2 linked regions of the Oreochromis niloticus genome follow. Each later gene encodes a partner of the first gene's protein in a complex. Links are inferred from orthologs where the notes say so. Each region holds a gene or a part of one and is shown in the gene's direction. Other genes may lie near its edges. The genes, in order: agk and timm10.

What was found.
Region 2: the proteins of agk (region 1) and timm10 are in contact, whole or in part, in a cryo-EM structure (PDB 7CGP), measured with the Homo sapiens proteins. The link is inferred for Oreochromis niloticus from reciprocal best matches to the Homo sapiens genes AGK and TIMM10. Residues at the interface, in NP_060708.1 of Homo sapiens: Phe49, Gly50, Asn51, Gln52, Leu53, Ile54, Pro55, Pro56, Val60, Ser91, Gly92, Met93, Asp94, Val95; in NP_036588.1 of Homo sapiens: Glu40, Glu42, Leu43, Ser44, Lys45, Gly46, Ser48, Arg53.

The regions. Positions count from the first base shown.
Region 1 is NC_031972.2:61,904,354-61,908,278, forward strand, and holds the start of agk (acylglycerol kinase, mitochondrial), read left to right. Parts: upstream 1-1,048; 5' UTR 1,049-1,209; coding exon 1,210-1,319; intron 1,320-1,402; coding exon 1,403-1,442; intron 1,443-1,523; coding exon 1,524-1,603; intron 1,604-1,692; coding exon 1,693-1,768; intron 1,769-1,869; coding exon 1,870-1,995; intron 1,996-2,115; coding exon 2,116-2,210; intron 2,211-2,365; coding exon 2,366-2,435; intron 2,436-3,925. Other genes in the region: nuclear pore complex protein Nup205, read right to left, coding at 1-74, 594-621. UniProt on the Homo sapiens protein: Lipid kinase that can phosphorylate both monoacylglycerol and diacylglycerol to form lysophosphatidic acid (LPA) and phosphatidic acid (PA), respectively. Does not phosphorylate sphingosine. Phosphorylates ceramide.
Region 2 is NC_031971.2:36,379,426-36,383,350, reverse strand, and holds the start of timm10 (mitochondrial import inner membrane translocase subunit Tim10), read left to right. Parts: upstream 1-1,505; 5' UTR 1,506-1,667; coding exon 1,668-1,738; intron 1,739-3,925. Other genes in the region: uncharacterized protein LOC102082595, read left to right, coding at 1-119.

The DNA.
Region 1 (3,925 bases):
CTCGGGCTGTCTCCTTAACACAGCTCCGTCCACTGTCTCCCAGAGCTCTTTCAGCGGCCCCCACAGACTGGCTCCTGAGGTTGTAAATAAGCTTTCAGATGTCTTGGGCCGTCACACAAGTATGCAAACAACTAATTTCTAGTCATTTCGAGTTAATTTGTTATAACCATGCTTGTTAACACCACTGCGGCATTTTGCACAGCACTATAAAAGATTCCAGAAGTATAGTACAGACACTTCTTTGCCTCCCCCGAGTTGTTAGTTTCAATTTTATTTCAAGCCGGTCGGCTGATCTATCAGACAAGTCTTGTCATCCCTCCCTGTTATTTCAGGTTTAATGTGGGAATTAGTTCGGTGTAAATGAGTAAAACTAATTTGTTATTTAACCTCAACTAACTTAACGTCTATTTGCTATGGGTAAGGCTAAGCTATGTTAGCCTGACAGACCCAACAACATGTGGTCAAAACATATCATAATCGACAAATCTGCGGCCAAGAAGCGCATATATCTGCGCTTCTATGCATAACAGAGGTTGAGATTTGATGCAATAACTAAACAAAATCCAATTATTTAATAAAATATACACCCTTACCCGAATTTACCGCCATCTGCGCCGCCATGATACGCTCACTAAGTTGGACAGAAGCTTCTGGGTTTGTGCCGGTGTGAAATTTAAAACAATCAATTCTGTAACGCTTTGGTCACTTTTAGTGAACAACGAATCTATCAGTCCTAATTTAATGTCCTCGCTGGTTAGTTGAGTAGATTAAATATCTTAGAAGATTTCATGGTTATGTGGGCTCTTTTCAGGCGGGGTCCTCCGAATGATGGCCCCGTCCCCATTAGCAACTATGGGAATTGTAGTTCTTGTAAGCTAAAGCGTTTAAGGCATTTAATTAAATCTACAATCTGTAAACTTAAAAAAAAATAATTAAAAAATAAAATATTTTTAGGAGACTTATATAAAGCAATACTTGAAAAAAATATGCAACTAGAAATAGTTCCGAAAAAAAACAAAACACAAGCGGAACCATGAGTTTGAGGCTCCTGTTTTGCTTCCAACTGTTTTGACGGTACACCAAAATGTCCATGCTAGTCTTATATCTGTGAGTCTGTGACCGCTGTGATGAAAATGTGTCGTTTATGACGTTTAATGATCTGTACCACTGCGCTAAAATTGAGGTTTTGAAAACAGTTTAATCACAGTCATGGCTCGAGTCGTGAAAGTGTTTCGGACTTTGCGAAATCATTGGAAGAAAAGCACATTTGCTGTGTGTGTCTTGTCCTACGGTGGATACTGGCTGTATGGAAAACACTGGTGGGTATTTCATGCTATGAATGAGACAGAGTGCACAAATTCCCGTTTTCGTGTCCTAAATGTTATGTATAATATTTCATCAGTGACAGCGTCCTGCGCAGAGAGGCGTGTCTACTAGCCAGGGTAAGGTGTCACAAAATTATTACCCCAAAACACAAGTTTCCTCTTTGTGACAGTTATCCTTAACATCATCATTTGTGTTAGGAATATGGACAGCAGCAGATAGCACCACAGGAGCGAATCAGGAAAGCAACTGTGATTTTGAACCCTGCAGCTTGCAACGGGTAAGACGCATAATCTCCAGACATCTCTCTGAGAGTCTTGTTTAATTCTTCTCAGAATATTTACAGCTTCCTGTGTTAATTTTCTCCAGGAAAGCCAACAACCTATTTGAAAAGAATGCTGCTCCTATTTTACACCTGGCTGGTGTGCAGATTACAGTAGTCAAGGTAATGTTTTCTATTTCAATTGGATATTTATCAGGTAATAGTGTCTCTGAGAGTGTCACAGAGCATGACATCACATCTAGATATTACATATCCCTCTACAGACAGACTATGAAGGCCAGGCAAAAAAACTGATCGAGTTAATGGAAGAAACAGACATGCTGATCGTGGCTGGAGGAGATGGCACGTTGCAGGAAGTGATCACAGGTTTACTGAGAAGGCCAGACCAAGTAGGTGTAATGTAATATAGTAGCTGTGTTAATCTGACATCATCTGTCTGTAATAACTGTATTCGGTCTGATACTTTAAGTAATTAAATCTTTCTTTTGGTGGATGTTTTCTGACCACAGGACGTCTTCAGTAAGACACCAATTGGATTCATTCCACTAGGCTCCCATAATTCCCTCAGTCCAAGTCTTCATCTCCTCAGTGACAACAAGGTCAAGTAAGTAATGTTTCAGCATCACACACAAAAAGATCATTACATATTCCCACGACAAACTTCACTGGGTTGTTATCATGTCACTCAGCAAATATATAGTACAGAATTCCTGATTTCTTCCATTAACTAGAATGTTTTTAATGTCATTCATTTTCCAGGGACATCACATCAGCAACACTGTCAATACTGAAGGGAGAAACTGTACCGCTGGATGTGCTCCAAATCAAAGTGAGAAACTGCTTATATATTGCTCTACACAGCCTTAAAGTTACAAACTAAATCTGTACTTATTTTAAAAAATCTTGCTGTTTTTAACAGCCAATATTAAAACAAGTGAGTAAGCCGGTAAACTGGATTCATAAAGCACATTTTAAAAATTACAAAGTTATTTAATATTTATTTTAAAAGCCATTAGGTAAAAAATATAGATATTTTTAAAAACATATATGAATATTTATTATAATGAAAGAAAATTACAAGAAAAAAAATGAGTTTTATCGGTTTTTGTGAGTATTTTTTTTTTTTTTTAATTTTCCAATGTGACATTATTTTTCCAGTTTAAAAATATATACATTCATTTATTTTGATGATTTTCATTTATTCTCCTTTTGTACCACCCAAACTTATTTATTCATTGACTTTCTTTTCATATTTTGAATACATGTTGGGCTAAACGTAAACATAAACTACTATTTTTAATTTTCTTCTTAATATTTAATATTCTCTTTTGCCATGTTGATGACTTTAAATTCAGCAGAAGAAATAAGCAAATTTAAATTCAGGTCTCCATGCAAATTATTTCATGTCCAAGGTGTGTAGTAATTAAAAAAAAAAGTTCTTCCCAGAGGCTTCAGGATCCTTGGCACTTGGGCTGTGCCATATCATATCATCTGCGATAATATACATTTTCCATGATATAAAAGTGTCATATTGCAGTATCTTTCCCATCTCAGTGACACCTGTTTATGTTTCCTAGCACACACAACTGAAAGACAAGCAAGACATATCTGACAGCAAGCGCTGAATTTCAGTTTTCAATTACAGGGAGTGCAGAATTATTAGGCAAATGAGTATTTTGTCCACATCATCCTCTTCATGCATGTTGTCTTACTCCAAGCTGTATAGGCTCAAAAGCCTACTACCAATTAAGCATATTAGGTGATGTGCATCTCTGTAATGAGAAGGGGTGTGGTCTAATGACATCAACACCCTATATCAGGTGTGCATAATTATTAGGCAACTTCCTTTCCTTTGGCAAAATGGGTCAAACGAAGGACTTGACAGGCTCAGAAAAGTCAAAAATAGTGAGATATCTTGCAGAGGGATGCAGCAGTCTTAAATTGCAAAGCTTCTGAAGCGTGATCATCGAACAATCAAGAGTTTCATTCAAAATAGTCAACAGGGTCGCAAGAAGCGTGTGGAAAAACCAAGGCGCAAAATAACTGCCCATGAACTGAGAAAAGTCAAGCGTGCAGCTGCCAAGATGCCACTTGCCACCAGTTTGGCCATATTTCAGAGCTGCAACATCACTGGAGTGCCCAAAAGCACAAGGTGTGCAATACTCAGAGACATGGCCAAGGTAAGAAAGGCTGAAAGATGACCACCACTGAACAAGACACACAAGCTGAAACGTCAAGACTGGGCCAAGAAATATCTCAAGACTGATTTTTCTAAGGTTTTATGGACTGATGAAATGAGAGTGAGTCTTGATGGGCCAG
Region 2 (3,925 bases), on another chromosome or scaffold:
AAAAAGCACCTCAGACCAGAGAGTGTGAGGGGTTCCTCAACAACATAGACATGACTCCGAATGAAGATGAGGAAGATGATGTGAATGAGATTGACGTGACTGGAGACGAAGCAGAGTAACGTCATGTACGTGTGTGTATTTTTTACCCCGTCCAGTGGTCGGCTCTCACTCTAATGCTGTCTCTGTTCTGGTTGTATTTATGTTCACATGTCACATGAAGTTGCGTATAAAGATTCATTTTTACATTCTTCACTTCATGTTTGCACCACTTTGGGTTTTCGTTTAGTTCCTTGTGTATGCGGTTCAAAAAGATGTTTAATTTCCATTAATAATATGCTAAAGAAAAAGTTTACAATAAGTTTGTTTTGTCAATTTTATACATTTTACATTTTCAGCGAAATTGTCAGATGAATAGAGGAAAAGGCACTTGAGTGGCCTTCAGTGATGTCCCTCTGTATGTTTCCAATGTGGAAAAGATCTGTTGTTTTAAGTCTATATTTGTAAAAGTGTTTTATGTACATCAGTACATAATATAATTATGGTTTATTAAACGTTTTCATGTGACAGCCTGCTTTCTTTAAAAAGCACCATAGCTGAACACAAGAGGGCACTACAGAATATACACTCACTGGCCACATTATTAGTTACATCTTGCTAGAACTCTAATTGGCATAGATTTAACAAAGTGCTGGAAATATTCCTTTTCCATTTTGGTCCATATTGACATGACGGCATTGCATGTCACGGCTGCAGATTTATGAGCTACACATTTATAATGCAATACTTTGGATTGAGCTCTGGTATCTATGGAGGCCCTTTGAGTGTCTTGCTGGAAGCAGGCATCAGAAGATGGGTACACTGTGGTCATAAAGGGATGGACATGACACACAAAGCAAGGTCAATCTCTGCTTTTATGTTTTCACAAACTTCTTGACCAACCATCCAAATACTGCAGAAGAAATGGAGACGTACAATTGGGAAGCAGTTTTTCCACTCCCAAAACCAAGCATCCGGTGGTTATTTGAGTTACTGTTGCCTTCTCATCAGCTTGCAGCAGTCTGCCCATTTTCCTTTGTCGTCTGCCATCCACAATTAATTTTTACCCAGAGAACTGGTGCTCACTGGACATTTGATCTTTTTCTGATCTCTCTCTGTATTGGAACATCTCAGAAGATTCAAAACGTTTATTGTCATGTGTACAAAGAAAAGCATTTCTCTGTACGATGAAATTCTTTCTCTGCTGTCCACACACAGATGCTGGTTAATATGTACTAATAGATAAAATACAAATAGCATGAATAAATAAATGGAGACAGAAGTTTCAGAAATACAGAACAAACCAACTTCCTCATTCTGATTTGAACTTGAGCGTTTTTTTTTTTGTCCTTCATCTCCCTGTGAGGCTCTTATCTTACTTTGGAGAAATACACATTCAAACACACACCAGTAGAGGGCGCACTTCCTGCTCTCTCCGCTTTCTGCTTTTTGAATCCAACTTTATTGTCACCGGAAGTATGTGGAGGAAACGGTACACACGTGTTTTCGTGCAGGTTTGAAGGTTACTGAAGCAGCGGGTAGTGCTCCTTGCTTGCTGTCCGGAGGAGAGGCTCAGCGGGACGGCGTGTTTGTGGATCGAGACCCGGTGTGAGCAGAACTGAAGCGGAGCCATGGATCCTGTGAAGGCGCAGCAGCTGGCGGCGGAGCTGGAGGTGGAGATGATGGCTGACATGTACAACCGGTAAAGCCCAAACAAGCTAACCTCTCAGCTAGCCACAGCAGTCTGCTGTGAAGTGTGGCGGCTTTTATGTGTCAAACTTACATTTATTTACAGTGTGCCAGAATAATGTGCAAAGATAATTACTGTTTAGTGAAGCTGAGCCTGTAGAGCTCATCGTTAATGCGAGCAACACCTGATAAAGTCAGTGTCCTGCTAAAAAGCTCATTATTATAAAGGCCCACCAGCCGGCATGTTTAAGGCAAGGGGAGGCTTCTACTAAAGGGTGGCAAGGGTTAAATCCAGTGTATTTTAAAAAGAGCTATACTGACTAAAAATTAAAGACCTGAGTTAAGTGCTTAACTCACTGAATTTTCTTCACATAGCACAAATTACAGTATAGGCACAGTACGGCTGTTACTCATAATATAAAGATGTGTCCTCGTGTCATAACACAGTAATCTACTTAAATGCCGTCACTGGTGTAAGAGTAAGAGTGCATTCATTTATATGCCTATAGCTGCCCCCCGGTCATTGTCTTTGTTGTCTTTGTTGAAAAGCCCAAGTTATTTTCTATTTGCAAGAGAAGCATTGATAATGATTTGCTATGCGCCAGTGCACAGGTCAGTGATGAAATACATGTGTTGTAAATGTGGACCTAAAATGCAGCGCTCACAAAGGGTTTCTCTTTATCACGTCCACATATAGTTAAAGCAAATAGGCTGTGTTACCTGATGACAGGTGTGTGGATTTTAATGTTCTTTTTGGCTTACAAAAAAAACCTGACAAAAAACAAAAGAATTAATTTAAGCTTTTATTAAATTAAACCTCACTTTAAAATACCCCCAAAAAAACAGTTAAGTGATTTTGATCACAAGTATTTTTATACTTGGAAGAAACCTTTACAGCACAGACCTGCGTCTCTGAATGAAGAAAAAACTAGCCTGGTTAATATTTATCCTTTAACGACCTTGCACAAATTATACATTCATGTGCTTTTAATAAAGTCTTGCAGTTAAAGCCCACCGAGCCCGAGTCAGATTCAGTCAGTTGCCAAAGAAAATAGTTTTTGTATATTTTTTTCCAAGTGTGTTTGGCTTGAGAAAGATGAATAAATATACGTGAGCTATGAGTTATTGGTTTGTTCAACACAGAGCAACAAACAAGCAGTTCGCTTGCTTTACTTTTTTGACTGAGGTTTGATTGGCTCTTGGCTCTCTGTCATTTTGCTGGGATTTTCTTCTGCAGTAATTTGATGGCACCCAGTTTTTGACATCACTCCATAAACCAAATACTATTTTTTGTTTACATTTTGTGGATGGAAGTGAGCAATAATTCTATCAAATTCTAGTTAAAATTTTCTGAACATTCATATGATACCTGGCAACATCTTAGAGCCATTAAAGATGTCTTACTTGCCACCTGATTATTGCTTGCTCATACGTGATAATTCCCCTTTTGCCTTTAGCATAGATATAAAAAAATTGGTGGAAACATTCCTCAGAGATTTTGGTCTGTCTTGACGTGATGGCGTCACACAGTTGTTGGACATTGTCAGATGGGCCGTTCTGTTTAGTTGGCTCTGGTGGGCGAGGCATGTTATGTTTGTTTGTTATGTTTAGTATCTTTTCACAGGAAACATTTTGACATGTCAGTAAGTTGATAATGTTTCAGATTTGGGTTTTTTTTTTTGGTATCCCAATGCTGGCAATACTTTTACAAGTATGTTGTGTAAAATAATGTTTTTAACAGTTTAACTGTTTCTTGTAGTTCACCACAACAGTGACAGTAACTGGGTCTTTCGGGCAGTTAGAGGTGTTCGTGGCTTATCGTCAGCCTTGTTGCAGTTTTTTGAATTCTGGGGCAGGATGTGAAGAACCTAACCAATAATTTTAGTCGGGTTAAAGAAATAATCCACTGAAATGTAATTTATCAGAATTAGCAGTAAGGTCCTATCAGGTCACCACCCCTGTGTGTCCTAAGGCAAACGGTGATGGTGACCTGCAGAAGGACCTTAAGGCTTCTTCTGATGAGCATGGTGTTGTATTGAAAGACGTTTGGCTCGATGAAGTGCTTTTGGATAGACTCATTCAGCACCATGAAATGAGAGGTTGATGACTTTCATGTGAAATGTTTTTTGAGTTTGGTCTCTTTGTGAATCTCCTGCAGTGAAGAGGAACTGGGTTTAATGTCCGTCGGTGGTCATGTGGT